Rattus norvegicus: one gene and its partners. The protein of the gene in region 5 interacts with the protein of the main gene of each other region in a pairwise test. Links are inferred from orthologs where the notes say so. Each region holds a gene or a part of one and is shown on either strand. Other genes may lie near its edges.

Region 1 (3,492 bases), on a different chromosome or scaffold from region 5:
ATCCCTGAGCTCAGTCTGATGGTTGGCTCTGAGCATCCACATCTGCCTTGGTCAGTTCTGGACCTCCCAAGGAGCAGCCATAGCAAGTGGGGAGACACCCCTGTATTTCCGACTACTGACCACTCTGAGTAGAATTGTATGAGTACATGATGCCTGTGTGCGCATGTCCTGTGGCCAGCAGACAATTTCTAAAGCCACTGTCAGGGAGTTGAACTCTGAAGCTGCTACTGGGTGAACAGTTTTGAGCTCTAGACAGGGAGAAAATGGCTGCTGGGCCCTTACTTTGTCCCTCTAATGTCTTAGCACCTCCTGAACAGCGCTCAGGATGTCTCCCTGTCCCATCTGTGCAGCGTTCTTCTTGCCTTTGCCCGGCTGAACTTTCATCCTGAACAAGAGGATCAGTTTTTCAACTTGGTACGAGCACCAAACACTGCTTCTGACACACTGACTTAGGGCTCGGGCTACTGCCTAGAGTGGGGGTTGGGAGTGGGCACAACATTTGACTTGGAGAAATAGGCAGCATCCCAGAGACCACTGGAGAACATGCAAACTACTGGGACATTGCCTGGGGTGATTTTGAGGGCAGCCAGCCAGGGGCAGCAGCTATGTGGACACCTAGGTGACCTGCCCAGACATTCTTCCTTCATCACAGTGCCCACTAGGGACTATCACGAGGGATTTGAGACCTTGGGTCCCTGCTCGTGGGCAGGGTGTGAGTGAAATAGCTAAACAAACAGCTCCGGGCTTGAGGAAGATTCCTATACCTCAGCCTGGGTTGGTGTGGGCTTTACCAAGTCAGGACTTTGGTCTTGCTTTCCAGTAGCTGTCCCTCGCTCCAGTATGGCAGGTCAAGAACACAGGTTGGCTTCAGACTTTCCTAGGGTGTTGTGGTCGCTGGCTGACCCTGCTTTCTTCTCTGTGCTCCTTGCTCAGGTGCATGAGAAGCTGGACTCCGTGCTGGGGAGCCTGGAGCCAGCCCTGCAGGTGGACCTGGTGTGGGCCCTGTGTGTGCTACAGCAAGTGCAGGTAGCAGAGCTGCAAACAGTTCTCCATCCTGGGCTCCACACACGCTTTCTAGGTGAGACTGCTCTCCTGCACACAGCATGGGCATGCACTCCCATGGAACATGGAGGCCTTCTGCTCTACCAGCCAGGGAAGACACTAGAGCAGAGACAGAGGGCAGAGCACACAAAGCACAGCCTCGTGATTTGTGATTTTTTTTTTTCCGACCACTCCCTGCAGTTGGCCTACAAGCTTAACTGTGGGACACCAGCCTAAGACGGGGTGGGAGCTCCCAATGCTACTCTATGTCTTGTGGTCCCCCTTTCTGTACCCAGTACTGTACATCAGCCTACCTTCTCTCCTCCCCCAGAGAGCAAGTCTCCAAAGGACCAGAGTACCTTCCAGAAATTGGTCCACATCAACAGCACTGCCCTGCTGGAGTACCCTGAATATAAAGGCCCTTTCCTGCCAGCCTCAGCTGTAGCCCCCAGTCCCTCACCCTCCAACAAGAAGATGACACCCCTACAGAAGGAGCTGCAAGACGCACTGAAGGCACTGCTGGGGAACAATGACACAGGCAGCCTGGAGGTGGCCACACAGTATGGCTGGGTGCTGGGTAAGGGCTCCCTTCCGCTGGGAGAGGGTCTAGTCTAACAGGCCCTTTGTAACCCTGCATGGTATAGCAAGAAGCAGCACAGAGAACAGCGGGTACCTCCCTCTAATGCCTGCTTGTGGGTACACTGTGGGGTGTCTGAGGCCTCACCTCCAGGCTCATCCTGTTCCCCTGCAGATGCAGAGGTGCTGCTGGATGCTGAGGGCCACTTCCTGCCCCTGAGAGATTTTGTTGCTCCTCACCTTGCCCAGCCAGTTGGGAACCAGCCACTACCCCCGGGAGCTAAAAGGTATGTGGCCAGAGATCCCTGGTCATGCCCTCGGAAGGGATTCAGCAGCACTGCTGTTCTTAAATGCCTTTTAACTCCTCGGCCTTAGTCCGGGAACGCGCTTTATAAGTACCCTTGTCTCCTGCTAGAATCGCTTTCCTACGCTGGGAGTTCCCCAACTTCAACAGCAGAAGCAAGGACTTGTTGGGGCGTTTTGTCCTGGCCCGTCGACATGTGCTGGCTGCAGGCTTCCTAGTGGTGGATGTGAGTACCTGGAGAACAAGGGTCACTGCAGAGGGAGAAGCCCCTAGAGCTAGAAGGATATGGGTGGATACTCAGCTCTCAGGCCTAAGCTAGGCACCTCTCCCCTACCCCACCCCACTCTACGCACACAAAAGCTTAGCTTGCCTCCTGTGAGCACATCACACTGAAAGTTCAGTACAGCCACGGGATCCCTTGCTCTGCCATTAGAGCTAGGGCTTGGACCTGTAACTGTGCTGCTGTGTGGCTATGTGTGGCTTCAGATCACATGTGCCGTGTTGAGTCTCCTGCAAAGAGAAACTTCATAGCTTTGCCACATTTTCTTCAGTAGCCTTGCTGGGACCTATCTGGTTTGCAATCTCTTTGCCCTGCCAGCCAGCATCTTTCCATGTGCATAGCCTTACACTCTGCACTCTTCCTGAGGACTTTGAGGCCAAGACCTGGGTGTTTAAAGCTGTCAGTCAACAGCTCTGTCAGAGTGGGAGGGGCCCCTGGACATGTAAAGGCGGGAAAGGATTCCACAGTCCATGTGACTGTCTGTACTACCTTCTTCCAGGTCCCATATTATGAGTGGCTGGATTTGAAGTCTGAATGGCAGAAAACCGCCTACCTCAAGGACAAGATGCGAAAAGCAGTGGCTGAGGAGCTGGCCAAGTGACCTTTCCCATCTGTTCAGACTGCATCTCAAGACCTGAGGGCTCAGGGACCCAGACCCAGCAGTGAGTGCTGGGCCGGCCAGAGTTGTCACCCATCAGCGAGATGAACTCTCTGTAGGACCTTGGCCACAGTAGGGGGTGCTCAGCAGCTCCCAGGGCAGGCGGTCCTAATAAATCACTTGTTTTGGTGGATGCCGGGTCTCTTCCCAGGCTCTGTAGTATCTGTCTCCTCGTTCCCTTATTTTGGACACACACACACACACACACACACACACACACACACACACACACACACACCTCCACTTCCCTGGCTCTCCAGGATTCTACCGAGTGTACTCTCCTCCTCCACTTCCCCAATAATAGGCTGGTGTGGCACAGCAGAGGGGGGACTTGAGAGACAGAAAACCTAGGCCTTAAATGGGTAGGGTCCTAGACACTTGGGCTTCCCAGGAAGTGTGTGTACTTGAGTGTATAGCAGAGTTGCAGTTACTGTCCTGCAAGGTTCCCTCCCTTACCATGTCACTAAGAGAGTATCTGAAGGGAACAGGTGCTGTGAAGGCATTTGGAAGACCCTAGTTCTGGGACAAGAGTAAAGTCCACTTGGCTGAAAACAAGATCCTTGGCCAGACTGTCACTCTCAGGACTACCACAGCCTACTCCGAGACCGCCCTTCCAGTGGAGCCCTGGGTCCT
Region 2 (3,500 bases), on a different chromosome or scaffold from region 5:
GAATCCTTGAGTGACTCAGGTGGCTGTTAGGATGGAGAAGCTCAGCCATTAGTCTTTTCTCCCAGGAAATTTGGGACTTTTGCCTGTAGGAAAGTTCTGATTTAGTGGACAACAGGTCCAGGCTCAGCAATTACTCCTTGGGACTCAAAAGTTGCCCGTTGGCATTTACATAGTTGATAGTTGGCTTAATTAGGGACTTCGTGTTGATTTCAATCATAGTGGGCAATTGTACTTTGCACGAGGTAGTACATATTACTGCATTTTCAAAGATGCAGGTGCTTCATTTATTCACTTAGAAAAATTCTCAAAAGCTTACCCGGAACCAGACACTGTGCCCTCCAAGAACTCAGTCTGTTGGAGAGAACTTTTAAACAGACCTTCCTAACACCGAAGAAGGTCATATGTTGTCAGTCAGGAAGCTTGGGAGCCAAGAAAGCACCAAGGGGCAGCAACCTGTCACTGTGTAATAAGTCACTGTCATTTCCAGTTCTAACCTTTCCCCTCTGCTTGTAACAGGAGCAGGATGGGACCAGTCTGCAGGTACCACCAAGGCTTCCGGAGCCTATCTCAAAATGTGGGGACCTCGATGTCATCTTTGAATATAGAGCTGTAACCCAGAAGCTTACCGTGACCATTGTGAGAGCACAGGGTCTCCCAGATAAGGACCGAAGTGGTGTCAACTCCTGGCAAGTTCACATAGTGCTACTGCCCAGTAAGAAACAGAGGGGTAAGACGAATATACAGAGAGGGCCCAACCCTGTCTTCAAGGAAAAGGTCACCTTCACCAAGCTGGAGCCCAGAGATGTGGCTGCCTGTGCTGTCCGCTTCCGCCTGTATGCTGCCCGGAAGATGACCCGAGAGAGAATGATGGGAGAGAAGCTGTTCTGTCTTAGCCACTTGCACCCAGAAGGGGAAATGAAAGTGACTCTAGTTCTGGAGCCCAGAAGTAATCTGAGCGTGAGTAGATTAAACGGTGCTGCTAATGATGCGGTGTGTTCAAAGACCTGGGATTGTCAGCCCTTGATTTACAACATTCGGCTTGTGAATCCATAGACGTTAATTCAATTTTCCATTTGGCTCTCCTCATCCTTATAAGCCACGGTTTGCACCTCATGGGCAGTGGGTCTTTCAAGCCCGCCATCCTGATATGTTGATGGATGCGTCTTCCACCCATTTTAGGAAATGACAGTGGCAGTGTGGGGGAGGGGATGGCAAGACCTGGGGAGGTGGCTGGGCTTTTGACTTAGTAGATAAGCATCCAAAGGCCTTCTGTCCCCACCCAGTATGCATTATGATGAGTCTTAGACATGGTACTTCAGTTGTTTTCTTGAAACAAGAATCTCACTACGTAGCCCAGTTTGGCTTAAGCTCATCCTGTAACCCAGGATGCCCTCCAACACACGATCCCCTTGCCTCAGCTTCCCAAGGGCAGGAATTGCAGGTGGGTATTTCTGAACTTTCAGGGTAAGTCTCTTACTTAGTGAGGGTTCAGAAACATCCTGTATTAGCAACCCTGAATGCCTGCCACATCTGAGACCTTCCAGTTTTATGGTTACCTTTTTTTTTTAAACTATGCATCTTACTCCTCTTCCTGGCCCAGGACTTGCAGAGCTTGGAGGTCTAAGAGGTGGCCAGCCTCACCACTGCTGTAGATCATCTATCACGTTAGACAAAGATCTCCTTTTACGAACATATATCAAAAGATCAGACAGCTCCTGGGTTAGTCAACCAATTGGCCATCCATTGGAGATGTAGCCCGTCATGGGCTGTAGAGGCCAAGCAAGCAGACAGCTATTATTCCACAGACTTGTGGAGAGGACTGTTGTTGGTAAAGCTCCAGGGGCTGCAGATTACTGAGAATGACCAAGAGAAGGTTTATTGAGATGACGAAGGAAAAAAAAACCCATCTAGCTCAAGCCATAGAGAGAACTAGACTGGGGACATGTGTGGGCGGATATTCATGCCAAAGGGAGGGCACACACAGCCATGGAGGAGAACAAAGATATATTCCAAAAAGATCCATCCATCTGAAGTTCCAATTCTGCCTGAACATCTTCACACTGGAAATCCTGATTTTTGCCTCTCTGAATCGATGCCACCCGCTGTCTTCCCAGACCTGCTTGCTGGCAAGCTCATCTTTCCGGTCGCTAGCTCCAAAATTGTAGAACTCACCCATGACCTTGCTTTCCCAGCTGAAAGCTGTGAATTCTCTTTAGATAGAAGCAAAACACGGCTCTCTGGTGGGCTGGTGGAATAGTCCCCTGCTGGCGGCCTCTAAGCTTCTGCTGTTTTCTGACACAAGGGTTAGAATGAGCTCAAGAAGGCACAAGCCCATATCTACGTAAATTCTTCCTTTTCATAAAATCATGAAATCATAAAGAACAGAATTCAGAGACGAGTCAAAAAGAGACCCTGTGGTGTGAAGCATAAGAGTGAATGTGGCCACACCCTTTCTTGTCAGTGCCAGCCCTGGGCTCTGTGCTGAGGGCACAGGCCGAATGGGGAGAAAAAGCCAGCCTGAAAAAATGTTAGTGGAGGAAAATATCTCAGTTATCAGCTACTGTTGAGTATGATTGTATACCATATGTACATCTATGTTACAGGGACTAAGTGATGGCTACAGATAAAGAACTTGGTAGTGGGAGGTAACTGTACTTAGAGAGGGACCTCAGTAGAAGTTTCTATAGAAATATAAGGATGTGTGGCCTTTCTCCCAAGGATGCAAATTTTTCATTGGTGGGTTTCTAACTTCTGGGCATCAAAGCCTCTAAGGGCCCTGTTGAGACCACTAGCTATTTTTCTTACAAATCATGGATCCGTGAAAGCTGGGGGGAGGGAGGGCTGGGTAAAAGGATACATTCCCTTGTATATGAGCAGCATTTGATTCATTTTATTGTTTTTGCTCATTGGGGTGTTGGCAAAAGTTTCAGAAAATAATTTCAGATACAGTCAAGAAGGATTTAAGGTAAATTCCATGTGCTGGTGTCCACTAGAAGTAGTAGTGTGTGGGAGGGCTAGAGGGACTGCTGGCATGTTCCCGCCAAGCTGACGATGCCCACTCGGGATCCTCCATGAGAATCTGTGTCTTCCTCTCCTCTGTCCTCTTCTGAATGTGCCCGGAGCATAACGGTGTCACTCAGAAGTGAGTACATGAATAAACATGAGAAAAGGTCTGGGCATTCTCCTCAGCTTACCTGCTGCCTCCCGGGTCACCAAGATCCACAATCTTTGTACCTGATCCTCTATCAACTATCAAATAGTGAAGTGCTCACTTCCTGTATAATCTTTTTTCCACAGGAGGTCAAATTTCCTATGTGAACCATGCTTCTTAGGCAGCAGAACCAGACACTAGGTGTTTTATGTACTGACCAGTGCCTGGTGGTCATTTCTTTTATCTTTGAGACAAAACACCTTCTGTATTGCCTTATTCATCAAGAGCGCAGAAAACAGAGACAAAACTCGGGCCTGAAGTGGGTAGGTTCACAGAAACATTCAGAAAC
Region 3 (3,500 bases), about 85 Mb from region 5:
AAGTTTTGTTAACTTTGAATTCGTAGCTATTCTCTGATAAACTCACAATAAATATTAAGAGTTCCTTCCTTCTAAAGTCGCCTGCCTTGCCGTCATGTCTTCAGTAAGCAAGTGATAGCTGTTTTATTGAGAAACTCATGACAGAGATTTTCAGAATTAAACATATATTTACAGAAAATTGAATAGTAAGCCATGATTATTAGTTCAAGTTATAGTTACAACCTATTGACAAGGCCATTACATTTAAACAGGTGCTATTTAAGTTTGTCTTGTTCTGGGAACTATACTCTGTCCCAATGACAGTCTTTGTGTTAATTATTTGTAAACTCAGGCATAACATTTTCTTTGAGCCTATCATTCTTTGTTTAACATATGAAGAATTTCCTAAAGAAACTATCACTTTGTGAGTAGTATTATGGATTATAGTAGAAGTTGGATTGCTTGATACCATTAGCATGAATGACTGTTGCTTAATAGCCAGAGAAAGTTGAAAAAGGGAATTCCATAGGAAAGATAGCATTCCACGCGAAGAGTTTTAACACAAGACATGGAAAATGTACGTTAGTTTACCAGACACTGAGTAGAGCCAAGGGTGTTCTCTAAGAATGTCAGCGTTGCATACGAGCTTCTCACACTTCATAGTGTCAGCGGGAATTCCTGGGTTTTGTCTTTTTAAATTAGAGAAACAAATTACAAGCCGATAGGGGTAGAATTTTTACCCCTTCCTCTCATGTTTTATATTTTAACCTTATTAAATTTTATAGTAGATATCCAATTTATGACCTGCCCTTTGGCCGTGTGCCAGCAGGGTAGCTATGAATGTGGCCTGACATGTTGAAGTGACCGAAGTTTGGAAAGCCCTGTTCAAAGCATTTAAAATCAACTTCTATTTTTTATTTTTGTTGAGTTTATTCTCCTATCAGTATATTAATTGTATAATGATGGTGACAATTGTGATCAGACTAGCTTACGATAAAAGACAACTGACCATTGATAAACCCACAGTTGGAAGAGTATTTAAGGGTACTTAAGGGTTCCAGACCTTTTGGTTTTATTAAGGGAATTTACAAGGGAAGGGGAGTGTAGCTAAGCTATTGTCTCTATTTTATGGAGGGCAAAATGCCTTAAGATCAAATCATTAGAATACATTCGTGTGTGTGTGTGTGTGTGTGTGTGTGTGTGTGTGTTAATGTTAATGGCTTAGGGAAAATTCCATGTCTTTAGTTAAATTGCCCTCACATTACTCCACTTTAGTCTTTGTCTAATGCTACTTTCTGTTTTTTTCTCCATCCTTTGTTATCTTACATATTTCTTCCTCTTTCCCACTTGGTCATCTGCCTAGGTTGTTATCGTCAGGAGATGTGCAAACTGATGTGTGAGCGGCTAAGACTCAGCACATGGAAAGTGCAACTAGGTGTCCTCCAGTCAATGAACGCCTTTTTTCAGGGGTAATGTGCTTCATGATTCAGGTTTTTATTTTATCTCCCTATTGAATGGATTCCTTAACCTTTACACATTCTTCTTTCAAAACAGAAAAGATTCTTTTCTCATACAGTATATCCTAATTATAGTTTATTCTCCTTCTACTCCTCCCCGTTTCTCCCCACTTTCCCTCTCCTCTTATCCACTCCGTTTATGTCTCCCATAAAGCTCTCTTTAGGCTTCTAAGAGATAACAACCAAACATGACAAAATAAAATACAATAAGATGAAACAAAAACCATCACAGCAACCCAGTGGGAAGAAAAGAGTCCCAGGAGCCATCACAAGAGTCAGAGAGCCACTCGCTCTCCTAGTCAGGAACCCCATAGAATTTTAAGCTAGTAACTGTAAACTATACGCAGTGGACAAGCTGTAGAGCCATAAAGCCCTGTGCTTAGTGTTCCAGTCTCCGTGAGCTCATATGGCTCTTACTTGAAGTTGGTGTCCTCCTCCCTTCTTGCTCTTAACAGTTTTTCTACCTCTGCTTCCTAGGAATTTCCTGAGCTCTAAGGGGAGGGATTTGATGGAGACCTCCCATTTAGACTCTTTCCCCACATTGTCTGGCTGTGGGTCTCTGCATCTGTTCCCATCTGCTTCTGGTGGAAGCCTCTCTGTTGATGACTAGATAAGGCACTGATCCATGAGTATAACAAAATATCACTAGGAGTCATACTATTGATACTTTGATACTTTTTATTTTCTTCTTAGACCAGTAGTGTTTGGTTTTATGCTAGGTCTCTGGGCTATCTAGTCTCTTTGTTCTTGGTTACCCAAGCAGTGTTGGATATGGGTTCCTTCTTATGGAGTGATACATAAGTCAAATCAGACATTGGATGGATTCTCCCACAAGTTCTGTGCCACCATTGCCCTAACATATTTTGCAGGGAGGACAGATTTTAGATCAAACGTTTTATGGCTAGGTTGTTGACATTTCTATTTTGGTAGATTGCTGTGTACCTTCCCACACCAAAGAGACAAGAACGTAAGGGTGAAGGCTTCATGTAGGCACCAGCTCATCTTCACCATGTTAATGAGTTGTGTGGATGTTGTCCTCTGCATTGGGGCCCTGATTTTAGTTTGCAGAGAGCCACCCTTTGTCTTAACAGCAACTTGGGTAGTTTGGGGATTTCCATGGGATCCCCTTGACCAACAGCTCAATTGAATACAACCCAGTCCTGCTACTGGGATCCTTGCCTGGCAACAAGAGATGACCAGCTGAGACTCTATCCCATTACTAGGAGTCCTCATTACGATCACCTCCATAAATTCCAGGTTTCCACTGCACTAGGTTTTTACATCACCGTATGAATGCCTACCGGTTTCAGCCATTTCTCCCCATATTTTCCTCTATCTCCCCCACACCTTGCCTTTCCCTGCCTGCTCCCATCCTTATTCTCTCCCAATCTGCCTGTAAATCCAATTTTCCCCTCCCAGGGAGATCCATGCATCTCCTCAGACTTCTCTTTACCTAACCTCTCTGAGTCTATGGATTGTAGCTTGGTTATCATTTACTTAATGGTTAATATCCACTTATAAATGAGTATATATAAAATTTATCTTTTTGGATATAGGCTACCTTATTCAGAATGATTTCCTAATTTCATCCATTTGCCTTCAAACTTCATGATGTCATTTTTTTTAAACAGCTGAGTAAGACTCCAATGTGTAAATATACACATTCTTATGATCAGTTTAGCTATTACAAGTGTCTCAGATAACATGGTAAGATGTCATGTACAGATAGAAGTTATGTTAGGCAGGATTTAAATGGTTAAGAGTCGCATTATACATCACTTTCACACTTACAGGTTAATGCTTCTGGAAGAAGAGCATGCAGATCCTGAAGCTCTGGCTGAGATTCTTCTTGAAACTTGTCAGTCAATTACGTATTCTTTAGGTGAGCAAGTAACAAGAACTTGAGTGATTTGTTGTTGTTGTGGCTGTTGTTTATTTTGTTCTTGGTGTTTATGATCAGGCACAGTCCCTCATGCGGCCACTCTACCACTGAGCTGCACCCTC
Region 4 (3,500 bases), on a different chromosome or scaffold from region 5:
AGGTGCTGCATAGATGTGCAGACCACTTTCACGGGTCAGAGCGGGGAGTTTTGAACCCAAACCCTACCCTGCCAGAAAGGCCCCAGCTGGGGCATTTCTCCTACCTGTGACTGCACATTGGCTCCGACTTGGGACCCTTGGTAAGAATCCCCATTCAGACTCTGCATGTTCATGAACATGTCCCCAGAATTTGGGAGGTTAAAAGAACCAGAAGAACCTGGAAAGGAAAGAGTTAAGTAGCTGAATAACAGAGAGCTACATACACAATCCCCAAAGACCTCGAGGTAGGGAAAGGAAAAGAGGCAGAAGGGAGAGGCATTTCCAGCTTTAGAAGGACAGAACGTTAACTCAGCTCTAGAAGGTCCTGCTACTCACACTATACACAGGAAGAACATTATAGAGGGTGAACCCAAGTGAAAAACCAGAAACGAATCAAAATAGGCAGAAAGCACCCAGGAGCTGGCCCCAGCCTTCTCCTTGTTTCCATTTCTCTCCAGACTTAATCAAACAAGCTCTTCAATGTTCAGTGTCATGGTGGAGAACTACCTGGAGAAGACACTTTCCTGACACTTTCTCCTAGATATAACTCTATGTTTCCACTCACCAGTGTCTGTGGCCCAGTAGAAATGATGGGGGTATAATAAAACAGACAACCTTCCCTGGACCTTTAAATGTATATTTTAAAATCTCCCTAGAAAGCATCCGAGGCCCTCCAACTCTTCTACTAGGGTTAGCTGCACCTTCCGCTGCCAGCCAAGTTCCCTGTAATTTAAAGACATTCTTCAAACTCCATGAATGCCACATAAAATTTAAATGGAATGTTCTGTGTAAGGAGTCAAAAATAGTGCATTTATAGCCAGCTGTGGTGGCACACACATGCAATCCCACCTAGTCAGCTGAGGCAGAGGAATCACAAGTTTGAGGGCAGACAGCTACAAAGTGAGTTCAAGGCTTTTTTGGACAACTTAGTAAGACTATCTTTAAAAAATAATGGCTAGTCATAAACTTTGCATATGCAAAGCCCCGGGTTTAAGCCCCACTACCACAAAAAACAAAAACAAAACAAAAAAATCATTCCTTTATATGCAAGTTCAGCAAGTCACCTGGCACAGACAGGCTGCGACCTAGAGCCTGAAGCCAAGAGCACAGGAAGCACAGCAACGTCCCAACCCAGCATTCAGCTTCCCTACCAACCAGTACATACCTGCTGCTTCAGTCTGACAGACCACCAATGACCCTAAGGTGATAGGCGGAACATTATATGATAGAACTTTGCGTATCTGCTGAATTAAAGGCCATGGCTGAGTATAAAGGTTCTAGCATCTACAGGAGCGAGTGGCATTCGCTGTGAACAGTGGGTTTCCCAGCACAGGCTGGCCCCTTATCTACCCATCTCCAGAACAAGCCTATAAGCGAATACAAATCTCTCCTGAAAGGCCCACTGTGCACCCAGTGAGGCTGAAGCTTCAGAGCCTGTGGCAGATGCCTGTCTGGCTGCGTAGGGAGTGCGCATGCCATACTCACCAGAGTTTGGCGTGGTGGGTGAGTTGGTCTGGTTGTTCTGCACGGCTGCGGCCACTGCGTGTGCGGCTGTCACGGCTGTTTTTGCAGCATAGAGATTGGCCTCCTCTTGAAATTTGCCGATGTTCTTCTTGTACCTGATTCGTTTGTTGCCAAACCAGTTGGATACCTATCAAGGACAGGACATGAAATAGGAAGGGTAGAGAAGTCACAAAGAAAAAGCCAAACTTCCTGTCCTTGCTATGGGATAACGAGAAGCTCTGGGTAACACAGTGCCCTGTCTGCCACTTTGCACCACATAAGTAGTGCATAATGATTTTAGGGGTTCACTTTCCACTTTGGCATAGTCTTTTGAACAATGCTTCTTGGAGTTGGCCATGGGAACACTAAAATGGCTGGGAGTACTGCTCATCAAAACACCCAATTGTTATGTGCGCATCAAGCATAGCAATCAGACTACTAAAAAAGCTGAAAAGCTACAGGAGGCATTTGTTAAATTGGGTATTAAGAAGCACACTTGAAAAGAATGACTCATTGTTCTTTTGTGGGCCTGAAACAATCCTGGCACCTATATAGTAGTATCATGTTTGGTCTGCTGAAGAGGGACATCAATTAATAATGGATGAACAATCCCTTTGTCTCCTGCCTTGGAAGACACTGCACGTCTGCCAAGATGGCTGCTCAGGCTCTGCCAGTGACTGTGGGAAGCCTCAACCTGAAAACTCAAGCCAGCTCAGTAAGGTCAAAAGCAAATGCAGAGGAATGGCTGATTCCATAAGGTAGAATAGAGGTTTGGGTTTTTTCCTTTTTTCTTTTTTTCTAAACTGCTTGTGATGTCAGCCAGTACAAATGTGAAAGAAGATGTTGGCAGAAGGCTGATTTCATTGCAACTCATAGACAGCAAAGGGAGAGCCCAACACTTAGTGCTCAGGTTCGCACTACTCACACGTCCCCAGTTACCTGTAGTTGAGCTGTGTAAAGAAGCTAAAAGTTGTAGAGCGGTGTGTCAGAAGGTATGCCCGATGCAGTATCCTGAGAGCTTGCCCCTCTTTTGTTAAAGTAACAATTTAAAAACATTCCCAGGAACTGCCTACCAGTCTAGCAGAGGAACCACTGGTGTGGTTTCAGAGTGACTGTTCTACCCTAGGTATTATCTGTAAAGGCTCCTCGGGGGCCCTGAGCAGAGAAAAGGAATGGGATGCAGTTCAGAGCCCTCCAACCCAATTTTCTACAGTGGGCAGCCCCGCTGGCCACCTCTGCCAAGTCTTTAATTGCTTTGGAAATGGTGCTCTCATTCTTCAACTGATGGCACTCACCCTCCTGGAGAAGGCTAGAAAGCTCTGGCAGGGGATCCCTGAGAGAAAAACAGCACTGGCCTTACTGTTGCCCATATGCTGCCATCAGAGCACTGAGTACACACACGTGCACATAAATACACATGAGCACACTTGAGAGGACCCGTGCTGCAGCACAGGTTCCTTGGAAAGATGGAAAAACCCACCCAAAACCAAGGTGGTTGCCCAGGCCACTCAGCTATCCTCAGGCAAGGCTTAGCCTCTCAGCAATGCCAGCAGCCATCCTTCCCAGAGCTCATTCTTCCCGTGGACCCTCCGCATTTTATTCCAACACCTCACCTCACCTCCCTTCTCCTCTCCTCTCCTCTCCCTCCCCCACCCACGTGTGTGTGTGTGTGTGTGTGTGTGTGTGTGTGTGTGTGTGTGTGTTTGCATGTCCTCCAAGGCTCACTTCTTGGTCCTTTTCTCTTTCTCCCTATCACACCTTCAGTGATTCTATGTGGGTGTCTCTGAGGTTTCTCTTTCTATCCCTAGCTTTATAAAGAATGTTAGATCCCAATGTTTAGATTCCCATAGGACTTGCCATAACCTCCAGCATATTTGGGTTAAGTGGAAGGGCAGGTGCTTCTCCTCTCTCTCTGTGCTTCTACAATCCACACCTCCAGAGCTATGGTGTTCACAGCA
Region 5 (3,500 bases):
ACATGGTCAGATTCACACACTGCTTGCTATTTCAAGAACTGCCTGCAGGGGGCAGGAGTGACACAGAAGACCTGTGGCTAAGACCCTGGAGCAGGGGAAGGAACTGGGAGGGGTGGGCAGCTCAAAGCGGTGACTGATAGTGTCTCTCTATGCAGGGGCTGCTTGGCGTTCTCAGGCTCCTATGCTTGGGGCAACTTCACTATCCTGGCCCTGGGTGTGTGGGCTGTGGCCCAGCGGGACTCTGTTGATGCCATTGGCATGGTGAGTTGGCGGTGGGGAGGTGGCTCCATCCGTGGGCCCCTCATCTGCCCCAGTCTTCTCTCTTCCTCACACCCCATCTTTTTCTGTTCTAAAGCCCTGCACACGGCAAGCCTAGCCAGGCCAGCTACACAGCGACCCACCTCTGCTGTTGTCCCCCCAAGACAGACATGGGGGGAGGTCACAGAACCCCAGTGTCTCCTTAGGAGAATTACAAAGGGGTTTGTTTCCCTTGTTTTCTTGCAGCGAGACCAGATGTTATGGGCTCCAAGGAAGTGTCCCTCTCAGAAATTCTGGAGATAGGCCCCTCATGATCTCAATGGCAGGAGATGGGGGTGGGGAATTATGGGGCAACAGGTTAGAGCCAGACTCTTGTGTCCATGCTCCTAGACCATGCAGGTGTCAGTCACAAGATGCCGGTCACCAGCCTGGTGTGTGTGAGGGAAACTTGGGGTCTGGTTGGGTGTCAGTGTCCGTGATCCTGTGATGGTGTTCCTTGCAGTTTCTTGGTGGCTTGGTTGCCACCATCTTCCTGGACATTATCTACATTAGCATCTTCTACTCAAGCGTTGCCGTTGGGGACACTGGCCGCTTCAGTGCCGGCATGGCCATCTTCAGCTTGCTGCTGAAGCCCTTCTCCTGCTGCCTCGTCTACCACATGCACCGGGAGCGAGGGGGTGAGCTCCCGCTCCGCTCGGGTAAGTCCCACTCCACCCCGCCTGCCCCCGGCCCAGCCACCAGTCTGGTGTGACTTCTTCCTGTTGTCAGGCAGACTTGGTGGCCCTCCCTCAGTCCAGAGTACAAGTGGAGGCGTGGAGTTGCTCAGCTCGCTGTGGCAGCAAGGAGCCTCTGCTGCGGGGCTGCAGATGGCTGTGGGGACAACTCCTTCCTCCTGTTTCCACCCAGCCCTGCCTCTGGAGGTGTGCGCTCCTGCCATGTGGGGCGTACCCTTTCTGAGCAGGCAGGCCAGGGAGCCCTGTGTACCAGCCTTCTAGACTCTGGCTCAGCCCACGCTGTCCTCTTTGGTGGCGGGCCAAGCCATTTTCCTGCCCTCTCTGACCCTGCTCTCCTGTGGGAGCTGGGTGTGGTCTCCAGGTGACCTGAGGATCCCATGAGAGAGTGCTGAGCCAGTGCCAGAGTGGCCTACGGCTGCCCATTCTGGTTTATCTCTGTGCTCACCTAGACCTGCCCGGGTGTGAAGGGATCAGACAGGAGAAGGAAGGTCCACTGCTCCTGGGACTTGTCCATGGTCTCAGGGCAAATATACAGAGGGAGAAATGTGAGAGACACAGGTGCCTTCTGTCCTGCTCTGTACTCTCAGCCCCAGCCTTCTGGGTACAGCAACTGTGTCAGGCCCTGTGGCTTCTAGAAATGGTGATTTATATGGGTCCTAGCGCCTGGCAGACAGCAGGAAGAAAGTCTGTGGGCTCAGGACTGACCCCCTCCTCAGGTACCTGAGCGTGTGCTTCCGGGGCAGATGTGACACAGTAGCCATTGACCACAGGAGCTGCTGTTTAGGTTGGACCCCAGTGTCATCTGCTTCATGCCACAGGGTCTTAAATCAGCCGGTCTCTCTGACCCTCGCATTTCTCTCATCTGCAGAGCCACCCATACCGATGCTAGGCTTGAGTGGACGCTGCTTGGTAAAGGCCTGGTGTCTGGGCTTCTGCCACTGCCCATTGTCCTTGGTATCATGATGCCAAACACTAGCCATGGCAGATGGTGGATCTGTCTGTGCTTAGCAGAAGGCCCCATGGTCTCATTTTCTCTATCCACTTGTTCCCTGTCCTCTAGATTTCTTCGGACCTTCTCAGGAACATAGTGCCTACCAGACAATTGACTCGTCAGACTCACCTGCAGACCCCCTTGCAAGCCTGGAGAACAAGGGCCAAGCTGCCCCCCGGGGGTACTGAAGCTGTCCCTGGCCGTCCTGGGGCCCAGCAGGATGCTTGTCACCTTCTTTACTGGACCTACAATGGGGTATCCTCCATTCCCTGCCACAGAGGTGGCCTGAGTCATGTGCCCTCGGAGGTCCCAGCTGAGAAGAGCCCAGTCCTAATTCTCCATGCTGCCCCTCCATTCAAGACACCTGTTAACCCCTGGGCTAGAACTGTGGTTGGTTTCTTCCCCTCCTCCCCATCACTATAACACACAACCGCCGAGCTGTGCAGAGTGTTCAGGGCCATCCAGGCCTTATGGGCCAATGATCACTGCCTCTCAGGCTACCCCAAGGTGACCCAGCCCTTCTGGAAGCTCTGTGAGCTTGTGGTCCTGCTCAGCCTGTTCTGCACAGGAGCCAAGTCCCTGTGCCTCTCAGTGCCTCATGACAGTGCCTGAGAACCCCAGGCCCAGATGCAGTAGGTCTGTCTGCAGAGGAGCCCTGACATTAAAATGCAGGGCCTCTGGGCCTGCACTAGGTTCCAGCCATGTTTGTGCTCCGAGCTGGGACCCACCCTGCCGTCTGGGTGTGACTTCGCCCTAGACTCAGTTGCAGGTGGAACATAGTTTCAGCCACCCATTATATCAGCCAAATGGGGTGGCAGAGGAAGTGCTGGTCGGTGTGGCATGTAGACAGACATCTATCCTCTGATTCTAAGTGACTAATTTCACTGCCTCTGATCCTGAACCATGAGGCAGGGCATGGGTGGCTTCCTCTAGCCTCTGCGTTCTGACCACAGTCGACTGCCTCCTGAGGTGCCAGCGCTCCCACTCTTACTCACCGGCAGACGTCTGGGGACAGATACTTGAAGACTTATGGGGAGCCGCAGGCTGAGGTGAGAGTCCTGAAAGCACTCTCTGCACACGAGACAGGCCGGGAGGCTGAGTGACAGCATCATTGGTGGGGTCACTGCGTCCATCTGCTGCGTCAAACACAATCCCATGCAATCAGCACCTAACCCAGACCTGGTTGGCATCCACACTGAGCCCAGTGTGAGCAGAGTGAGGAGCGGTAGCTGTGATTTGTTTAGGCTGAGTGCAGCACAGTGTAAACAAGAGCTGGGGCCCAGAGACTCAGAGGCTTAGAGGCTCAGCCGCAGGTAAAGGAGTCTTCTACTGAGCGTCACGATGTGTGTTTGGTCCTTGGAACCGACTTGCGAAAGTTATCCTCTGACCTCCACACTCTTTGTCATGGTTTGAGGTTTTACACACACATACAAACACACCACAAACAGATAAATGTAAAAACAAACCCAGAATATTAAAAACGTGCCTGGTGGGTGGTTAATGCCAGCACTTGGGAG
Region 6 (3,015 bases), on a different chromosome or scaffold from region 5:
ATGAGTGCCGGCGCCTATCCACCCCACGCTGAGCCCTGGGGCGAAACTTGCAGCCGGAAGTTACAACGAGGACATTGAAGAGGAAGGGGAGGACCTAGAGGCCGGAAGTCCTGGTTCCTGAGGGAATGAGGGGGCTCAGTCCTGTATTCTAGCCCCTGACCCCTCTGTCCTGTGTGGGGAGGAAAAGTAGGGTCAAGTGGGAGGGAACTGAGACGAAGACATAAGCCTCCACCTGCACTGAGGGGTGGTAGAAAACAGAAACTCCTTTAGAGAGTGATTTGGGAATCTAATAAAACTGATGTGAAACTATCAAAGTGTGAGTCGTTAAGGGTTGATTTAGAGAAAAGCAGGCTGGGGTGGGGAACAGTGTGTTCTGATATGGTAGCCTCATCCCTCCGTTATACAGGGGTGGGAACAAGATAAATGGGTCCTTACCTAGGAGATAGCCATGGTTTAATGTCTAGAAAAGGATGTGTGGGATTATAGGATGAACAAAGCTTACCTGCTCTTCACCCACCTATGCTCCAGGCAATTTATCTCTCCTCTGATCCCTGGATAGGCCCCCTCACTAGAGACAACACACAGCTCTATCCCCTCTCTATTTTATTTTACCTATTTTTTGGAAAGTCAGGGTCTCATGTAGCCCAAGCTATCCTTAAACTCATTATCCTCCAGCCTCAGACCTCCTGAGTGTTGGGGAGGCAGACCTATGCTGTCACATCAAGAGATGGTGGAAACATTTTGCACTTGCCTGTTGAGGTGTTTCCCACTACTGGAGGACATGACGCAGAGGCCCCCAAGTGACACTTTGTCTTCCACTTCTCACCCTCATCTTGGTGCTAAGACACCTATGCTGGAGGGTCCAACCGAGGTGGTGTGACTTCTCACTATATCTGTTAGATGAGAATGTAGGAAGGTCTTTTCCTCCTCAAGCCTTTTGGAATCCTGTCTGTCCTGAACAGAAGCTTTGACTAGGAATGTGGAGTCTCTGCTCACACTTACTCAAGTCCTTCTTCCTATGGGGCTGGTGTTTTGACCCCACTGCCCCTTTACTGTTGTAAACTCTAATGCTAGAGTCTAGGAGTGCAAAAACCACAGGAAAGTGTGACACAACCGTCTCCTCAGCCACATCTCTCCTTTCAGTTAATTCATACCCTAGTATGATTAGCCCACCTCCCACCTCTGCCCACCCCCTCCAAGTCCCTCCCTAAGAGCTTCCAGGAAATCAGTTGTCTCCAACTGTGGAGAACCTGTGACAATAGTCTAAACCACTACCTAGACCACGAGGGTAGACACCCCCAGAGCAGCCAGCAAGTAAAGACTTCAGCAGGGCCCTCCCCCACCACACAGGAGAGGAGCCAATCCGAGAGGGGAAGGGAAGCCACTCAGGAAGGGAGTGTGAGAAGAATCTGACCAGACACCAGGCCTAAGGCTACAGAGGATTCTCTGACAAAGTCACTGCTTGCTGGCTGTTTCTCTGGCCCAGTGGACTAGAAGTCCAGGTGCATGGCCTTTTCCTTTTTCTAAGAGCCAACACTCTGGGTCATCTGTGTCTTTGTCCCCTAAGAAGTGGAAACCCAGAGCTGTGTCCATGGAGCCCTACCGGTCCCTGGCCCTGCTTGCTGGCTGTCTGGGCCTGATTTTTTCACTGATTGCTCTGAGCACTGACTTCTGGATAGTGGCCACCGGCCCCAACTTCTCTGCCCACTCTGGCCTCTGGCCAACAAGCCCAGGGACTCAAGTAGCAGGTAAAGGGGCGATGGGCTCTTTGGCGGTGGGTATGGCTAGTGGGAATGGACACCCAGAATCATCGTCTCGCATTAGGTTATATCCACGTGACACAGGTCTGCTGTATCCTGGCTGCCCTGTGGGGCCTGGTATCCGTGAGCTTCCTGGTTCTGTCTTGTATCCCATCCCTGTCTGCTCCTGGCCGTGGCCCTATGGTCTCAACTGTCTTGTCTTTTGCTGCAGGTATGAATAGGATCTGGGCTGCACTGGGACACCTGGGCTGGTGAATACAAACCAGCTCAGCTGTCTCTTGTTCTTGTCCCCAGCTCTCTCCATCATAGTGGCCATGGCAGTGTACACCAGCGAGAGATGGAGCCAGCCTCCATCTCCCCAGGTCCAGACATTCTTCTCCTGGTCCTTCTACCTAGGCTGGGGCTCCGCCATCCCTTTCCTCTGTGCAGGTGACTACTCTAGCCTCTTCCCTGGGGGAGGACCATGATGAGGGCTGGGGCAGGGAAGTGCAGGGCACTCAAGTACTTAACCTCCCATCCCCCCCTCTGTCTCCACACCAGGCTGCCTGAGCCTGGGTGCTCACTGTAGAACCCGTCGGACTGAGTACGAAACCTTGTGAACAGAAGCCAAGGACATCAGGGTCAGCAGGATGTTTGGAGCCTTGTCCTCTCAGAAGCTATAAAAGGAAGGCAGAATTCTGTTTCTGTCCCTCCCACCTTGCCTTATCCCTCAATTGCTTTCTTCACACACTCAATAAAAGCATGCCGAGATCTAATTGTTCCAAGATCAGTTTAGCCAAGACCTAGACCTAGCCAGGCTTCTCACCCCAGTTACTCAGGTGGCTGGAGAAAGGAGCATCACAACTTCAAAGACTGCCTGGGCAACATAGTGAGTTCGAGGCTGGCTAAGGCACTAGGGCACCAGAGTGAGACCCTGCCTCAAGGTGCAAAACTAAAAAGAGAGCTTGGGTTATGGCTCAGTTGTAGAGATTTGCTGAGCATGAATGAAGTCCAAGTTGCATCCCCAGCACCTAAGTCAACCATACGTGAGCCTGAGCTCTCAAGGAGGGTTAGAACCATGCAGACCTACCTACCTGCAGCTTATTTTTGCCCTGTGTGGACATAATCTCCCTCTTGTCTTTAGTGTCTTTCTTTCTCCTGATTTCTATCTTTCTCTTTTCTTCCCCAAATGACCACCCTTCTCTGTGGGTCCACTCTGGGGACATTGATATGCACCACACCCAAGCTCTCTTAACCACCAGCCTTTGTCACAGGC
Region 7 (3,500 bases), on a different chromosome or scaffold from region 5:
GGATGGTGATTTGGCTTCATTTTACCACATGTACGTGTGCTGTAATCATGGCACTTTTCCTTGGCTGCAAGAAGAATCCACAGCCCCTTTTTATGGGTGTATTTGTTTGTTGTTAGAGGAATTAAGAGCTATTTAGAATTTACCATACGTGGTGCACTTTCTTCCTCAGAGATGGCTGTATTCCAGCTGTTTTGTTCTTCTGCTTAACCCACTTTTCTTCCCTGTGTGTTGTTAAAATAAGGGAAATAAACGTACACTGCTTCCATTAATAGAGAAGATTATTCATTATGCTTGCAAAGGACTGGGAACTAAGAGTCTCCCAGGCAGCATTTCTTATGACCATTTAAGAGTATACTGTCTACATAAAATTGGTGTGCCAAATCTTCCTTAAAGTAGGCTGTAGAGGATTAATCAAAGTAGGAGGATGATAAACCTTTCAAATGCTCCCAGCATATAGAGAGCAGCTGTTCCATGCAATCAGAACGTTTTGCTAACAGAAATGTCCTTCAAATATCATTTGTCAGAGGAAAAATAAATTATAGGGTTTTTTTTTCTTTTATTATCCTTTGGTGAATGTGATTCCGTCCAAGAATAGAATAAAATATGAGAACAGTATTAAGTGTAATTATATGTCCATGCCTTTACAAAAAATTTTATATTAAAATGAAAGGAAGATTTTTCTTATCTCATAGTTTGAACTTTGAATTCCTAGCAAATAAGCTATTCATGATTTTTTTTAAATCACAGAAATGCACAGTCATTGATTATCCCTGTGTAGTATGTTGCCTTTTTGAACACTATGCAGTCTTTCTAAGACTTGCCTGTAGTCCGAATTTGCAGCAAAAATAGCTTGCAGGCTGTCTGAATGGAGAGCTAGGTACTTCTTTCTGTGCTTTCGTCATCATCATACCTGCACATGATCATATGTGCATTTTACATATGTACATAGTAAAACGTTTCTTCCATACTCAACATGCCTGTGTATATGTGCTGGGTACACACAGTATATATGTATATAGTGATGATAGGCTAGTTTCCTTTTAGTTACCTTAAACATGCTAATATGAAATGTCTCATTCAGAGCCAAAATTTAAATTTTGCTATTTTTTCTATAGTTGTGTAAACTCAAACCAGATTTCTTATATTCTCCCTTTGCATAAAGAATTTTATTAGTGCTTTTCTCAAATTAATCTTTTATATAATTACTAGGTTTCATAGATTGGATTTCAGATAGGTAGTGGTTTTATATGTTTTTCCATTTATGCTTTATGTTTTAACAGACAAATTGCCTCTTTTTTTTTTTTTCAGGGTACATTCACTGAAATTCCTGCCAGCAATATTCGAAAAGTTATTGCTAAGAGGTTAACTGAATCAAAAAGTACTGTGCCTCACGCCTATGCTACTGCTAACTGTGACCTTGGAGCAGTTTTAAAGGTTAGACGAGATCTGGTCAAAGGTCAGTAAAGTTGAATTTACTTACTGCAGAAAGCATGCTAATCTGATGGTTATGAACGTCTTTGTCAAATGCACCTTGTGTTGCCTTTAATCTCATTTTATAACCTGACTATGCTCTACTCTGGCTCGTTCTAGCACAGGAGAGAGAATGGTTTTTCCCCTACATGAAATAGACTGGGTGCATAACCTTGGGTTAATCACAGTTCACTACTTTATATACAACAAGGATTTTGTTCTTCCATGCTTCCTCTCACTCCAGTGTCTTCTCTGTGTCGTTCCTACCGCCATTCAGTTCACACTCATTTACCCTCTGCACACACAGAACCTACCAATAGTCGTGGGTCACAGACGGGCCCCGTGCTTTTTCCTAAGTAAAAGTAGGCTTTATATTTTTTTCTCCCTTGGCTTGGGTTTTCTCTTTGTTTGTTTGGCTGGTTGGTTGGTTGGTTGGTTGGTTGGTTGGTTGGTTGTTTGGTTGGTTTTGAAAAGAACAGATGAATGCTCAGGCTAAATGCTTATTATCTGGAATACCTTTTGATAGCAATAGCTGGGCAAGCAAAGGTCTTAACAACGCTCTTAACTAATTAGAGAGTGCATGGATCATAAGTATGTCCTAGACAGCACTTGAATAACACTCTTCTTTACACACTTAATCATATATTCAAAACATTTTCAGATTATTAAATGGAATTGTCTCTCCAAACACAGTTCAAAATAAAGTTTCAGAGAGGTGTGGCTTTGTAAGCAGGAAGATCTTGTTTCAGCCTTACCCATCCTTCTGCCTTTCTTGCCTTTGCACTGACTGTCAATGCCAGACGTGTAGATATGTGCTCCTTCTGTGTTCTGGATTTTGAGTGGGGAGAAGCATTCAGTCTGTAAGTTTTCTATAGATATTTTTCAGGTTGAGGAAATCCCCATTCTCTGATTTTGAGAATTTTAAGTGTGAACAGATGCTGAATTTTTGTCAAAAAGTTTTTTTTTTTTTCATCTTTTGAGATACTCTTTCTCTTTTGGTTAAGATGACAGATTACATTGGCTGAATGTCAGTTGTTGAATCAACCTGATATTCCTCATACAAAGCTTTTTCATGTATTGCTTGAATTTATTAACATTTCATTAAGATTCTTTACATATGCTGAGTTAGTGGTCTCAGGAGGCTGGGACAGAACGGTGTGTCCCAGGCAGGTCTGGACTATGTATAATTGCATGTAATCCTGTAAGAAATACTGCCCTTCCCCGTTCTTTCCTTGGGTTCCTTCGTGCTCCCAGTGTTTGTCTTCAGACCTTCTAGAAAAGTTAGGAAATGTATCTTCCTCCTGTACTCTATGGAGTGTTTTTTTTTTTTCTTTCTTTCTTTCTTTTTTTTTTTTTTTTTATTAACTTGAGTATTTCTTATTTACATTTCGAGTGTTATTCCCTTTCCCGGTTTCCGGGCAAACATCCCCCTAATCCCTCCCCCTCCCCATCCTCCCCCCATTGCCGCCCTTCCCCCAACAATCTAGTTCACTGGGGGTTCAGTCTTAGCAGGACCCAGGGCTTCCCCCTCCACTGGTGCTCTTACTAGGATATTCATTGCTACCTATGAGGTCAGAGTACAGGGTCAGTCCATGTATAGTCTTTAGGTAGTGGCTTAGTCCCTGGAAGCTCTGGTTGGTTGGCATTGTTGTACATATGGGGTCTCGAGCCCCTTTGAGCTCTTCCAGTTCTTTCTCTGATTCCTTCAACGGGGGTCCTATTCTCAGTTCAGTGGTTTGCTGCTGGCATTCGCCTCTGTATTTGCTGTATTCTGGCTGTGTCTCTCAGGAGAAATCTACATCTGGTTCCTGTCAGCCTGCCCTTCTTTGCTTCATCCATCTTTTTTTTTTTTTTTTTTTTTTTTTTTTTTTTGGTTCTTTTTTTCGGAGCTGGGGACCGAACCCAGGGCCTTGTGCTTCCTAGGTAAGCGCTCTACCACTGAGCTAAATCCCCAGCCCCTGCTTCATCCATCTTGTCTAATTGGATGGCTGTATATGTATGGGCCACATGTGGGGCAGGCTCTGAATGGG

Evidence for each region.
Region 1: the proteins of Agtrap (region 5) and Tbrg4 interact in binary tests that used the Homo sapiens proteins (3 or more experiments, as listed by UniProt). The two-hybrid records come from large-scale screens. The link is inferred for Rattus norvegicus from reciprocal best matches to the Homo sapiens genes AGTRAP and TBRG4.
Region 2: the proteins of Agtrap (region 5) and Syt16 interact in binary tests that used the Homo sapiens proteins (3 or more experiments, as listed by UniProt). The link is inferred for Rattus norvegicus from reciprocal best matches to the Homo sapiens genes AGTRAP and SYT16.
Region 3: the proteins of Agtrap (region 5) and Ecpas interact in binary tests that used the Homo sapiens proteins (3 or more experiments, as listed by UniProt). The two-hybrid records come from large-scale screens. The link is inferred for Rattus norvegicus from reciprocal best matches to the Homo sapiens genes AGTRAP and ECPAS.
Region 4: the proteins of Agtrap (region 5) and Pbx3 interact in a two-hybrid assay, tested with the Homo sapiens proteins (4 studies listed by BioGRID). The two-hybrid records come from large-scale screens. The link is inferred for Rattus norvegicus from reciprocal best matches to the Homo sapiens genes AGTRAP and PBX3.
Region 6: the proteins of Agtrap (region 5) and Nkg7 interact in binary tests that used the Homo sapiens proteins (3 or more experiments, as listed by UniProt). The two-hybrid records come from large-scale screens. The link is inferred for Rattus norvegicus from reciprocal best matches to the Homo sapiens genes AGTRAP and NKG7.
Region 7: the proteins of Agtrap (region 5) and Pdhx interact in binary tests that used the Homo sapiens proteins (3 or more experiments, as listed by UniProt). The two-hybrid records come from large-scale screens. The link is inferred for Rattus norvegicus from reciprocal best matches to the Homo sapiens genes AGTRAP and PDHX.

What each region holds. Positions count from the first base shown.
Region 1 is NC_086032.1:85,696,238-85,699,729, reverse strand, and holds the end of Tbrg4 (FAST kinase domain-containing protein 4), read left to right. Parts: intron 1-303; coding exon 304-414; intron 415-933; coding exon 934-1,078; intron 1,079-1,372; coding exon 1,373-1,618; intron 1,619-1,792; coding exon 1,793-1,904; intron 1,905-2,032; coding exon 2,033-2,147; intron 2,148-2,700; coding exon 2,701-2,802; 3' UTR 2,803-2,992; downstream 2,993-3,492. UniProt on the Homo sapiens protein: Plays a role in processing of mitochondrial RNA precursors and in stabilization of a subset of mature mitochondrial RNA species, such as MT-CO1, MT-CO2, MT-CYB, MT-CO3, MT-ND3, MT-ND5 and MT-ATP8/6. May play a role in cell cycle progression.
Region 2 is NC_086024.1:98,687,667-98,691,166, forward strand, and holds part of Syt16 (synaptotagmin-16), read left to right. Parts: intron 1-516; coding exon 517-957; intron 958-3,500. UniProt on the Homo sapiens protein: May be involved in the trafficking and exocytosis of secretory vesicles in non-neuronal tissues. Is Ca(2+)-independent.
Region 3 is NC_086023.1:78,403,876-78,407,375, reverse strand, and holds part of Ecpas (proteasome adapter and scaffold protein ECM29), read left to right. Parts: intron 1-1,342; coding exon 1,343-1,448; intron 1,449-3,289; coding exon 3,290-3,378; intron 3,379-3,500. UniProt on the Homo sapiens protein: Adapter/scaffolding protein that binds to the 26S proteasome, motor proteins and other compartment specific proteins. May couple the proteasome to different compartments including endosome, endoplasmic reticulum and centrosome.
Region 4 is NC_086021.1:37,891,396-37,894,895, forward strand, and holds part of Pbx3 (pre-B-cell leukemia transcription factor 3), read right to left. Parts: intron 1,691-3,500; coding exon 1,525-1,690; intron 218-1,524; coding exon 105-217; intron 1-104. UniProt on the Homo sapiens protein: Transcriptional activator that binds the sequence 5'-ATCAATCAA-3'.
Region 5 is NC_086023.1:163,792,175-163,795,674, reverse strand, and holds part of Agtrap (type-1 angiotensin II receptor-associated protein), read left to right. Parts: intron 1-155; coding exon 156-261; intron 262-760; coding exon 761-956; intron 957-2,052; coding exon 2,053-2,171; 3' UTR 2,172-3,500. UniProt on the Homo sapiens protein: Appears to be a negative regulator of type-1 angiotensin II receptor-mediated signaling by regulating receptor internalization as well as mechanism of receptor desensitization such as phosphorylation.
Region 6 is NC_086019.1:102,980,050-102,983,064, forward strand, and holds Nkg7 (protein NKG7), read left to right. Parts: upstream 1-1,447; 5' UTR 1,448-1,591; coding exon 1,592-1,748; intron 1,749-1,824; coding exon 1,825-1,971; intron 1,972-2,054; coding exon 2,055-2,189; intron 2,190-2,300; coding exon 2,301-2,359; 3' UTR 2,360-2,515; downstream 2,516-3,015. Other genes in the region: Lim2 (lens fiber membrane intrinsic protein), read left to right, coding at 1-32.
Region 7 is NC_086021.1:109,838,235-109,841,734, reverse strand, and holds part of Pdhx (pyruvate dehydrogenase protein X component, mitochondrial), read left to right. Parts: intron 1-1,308; coding exon 1,309-1,456; intron 1,457-3,500.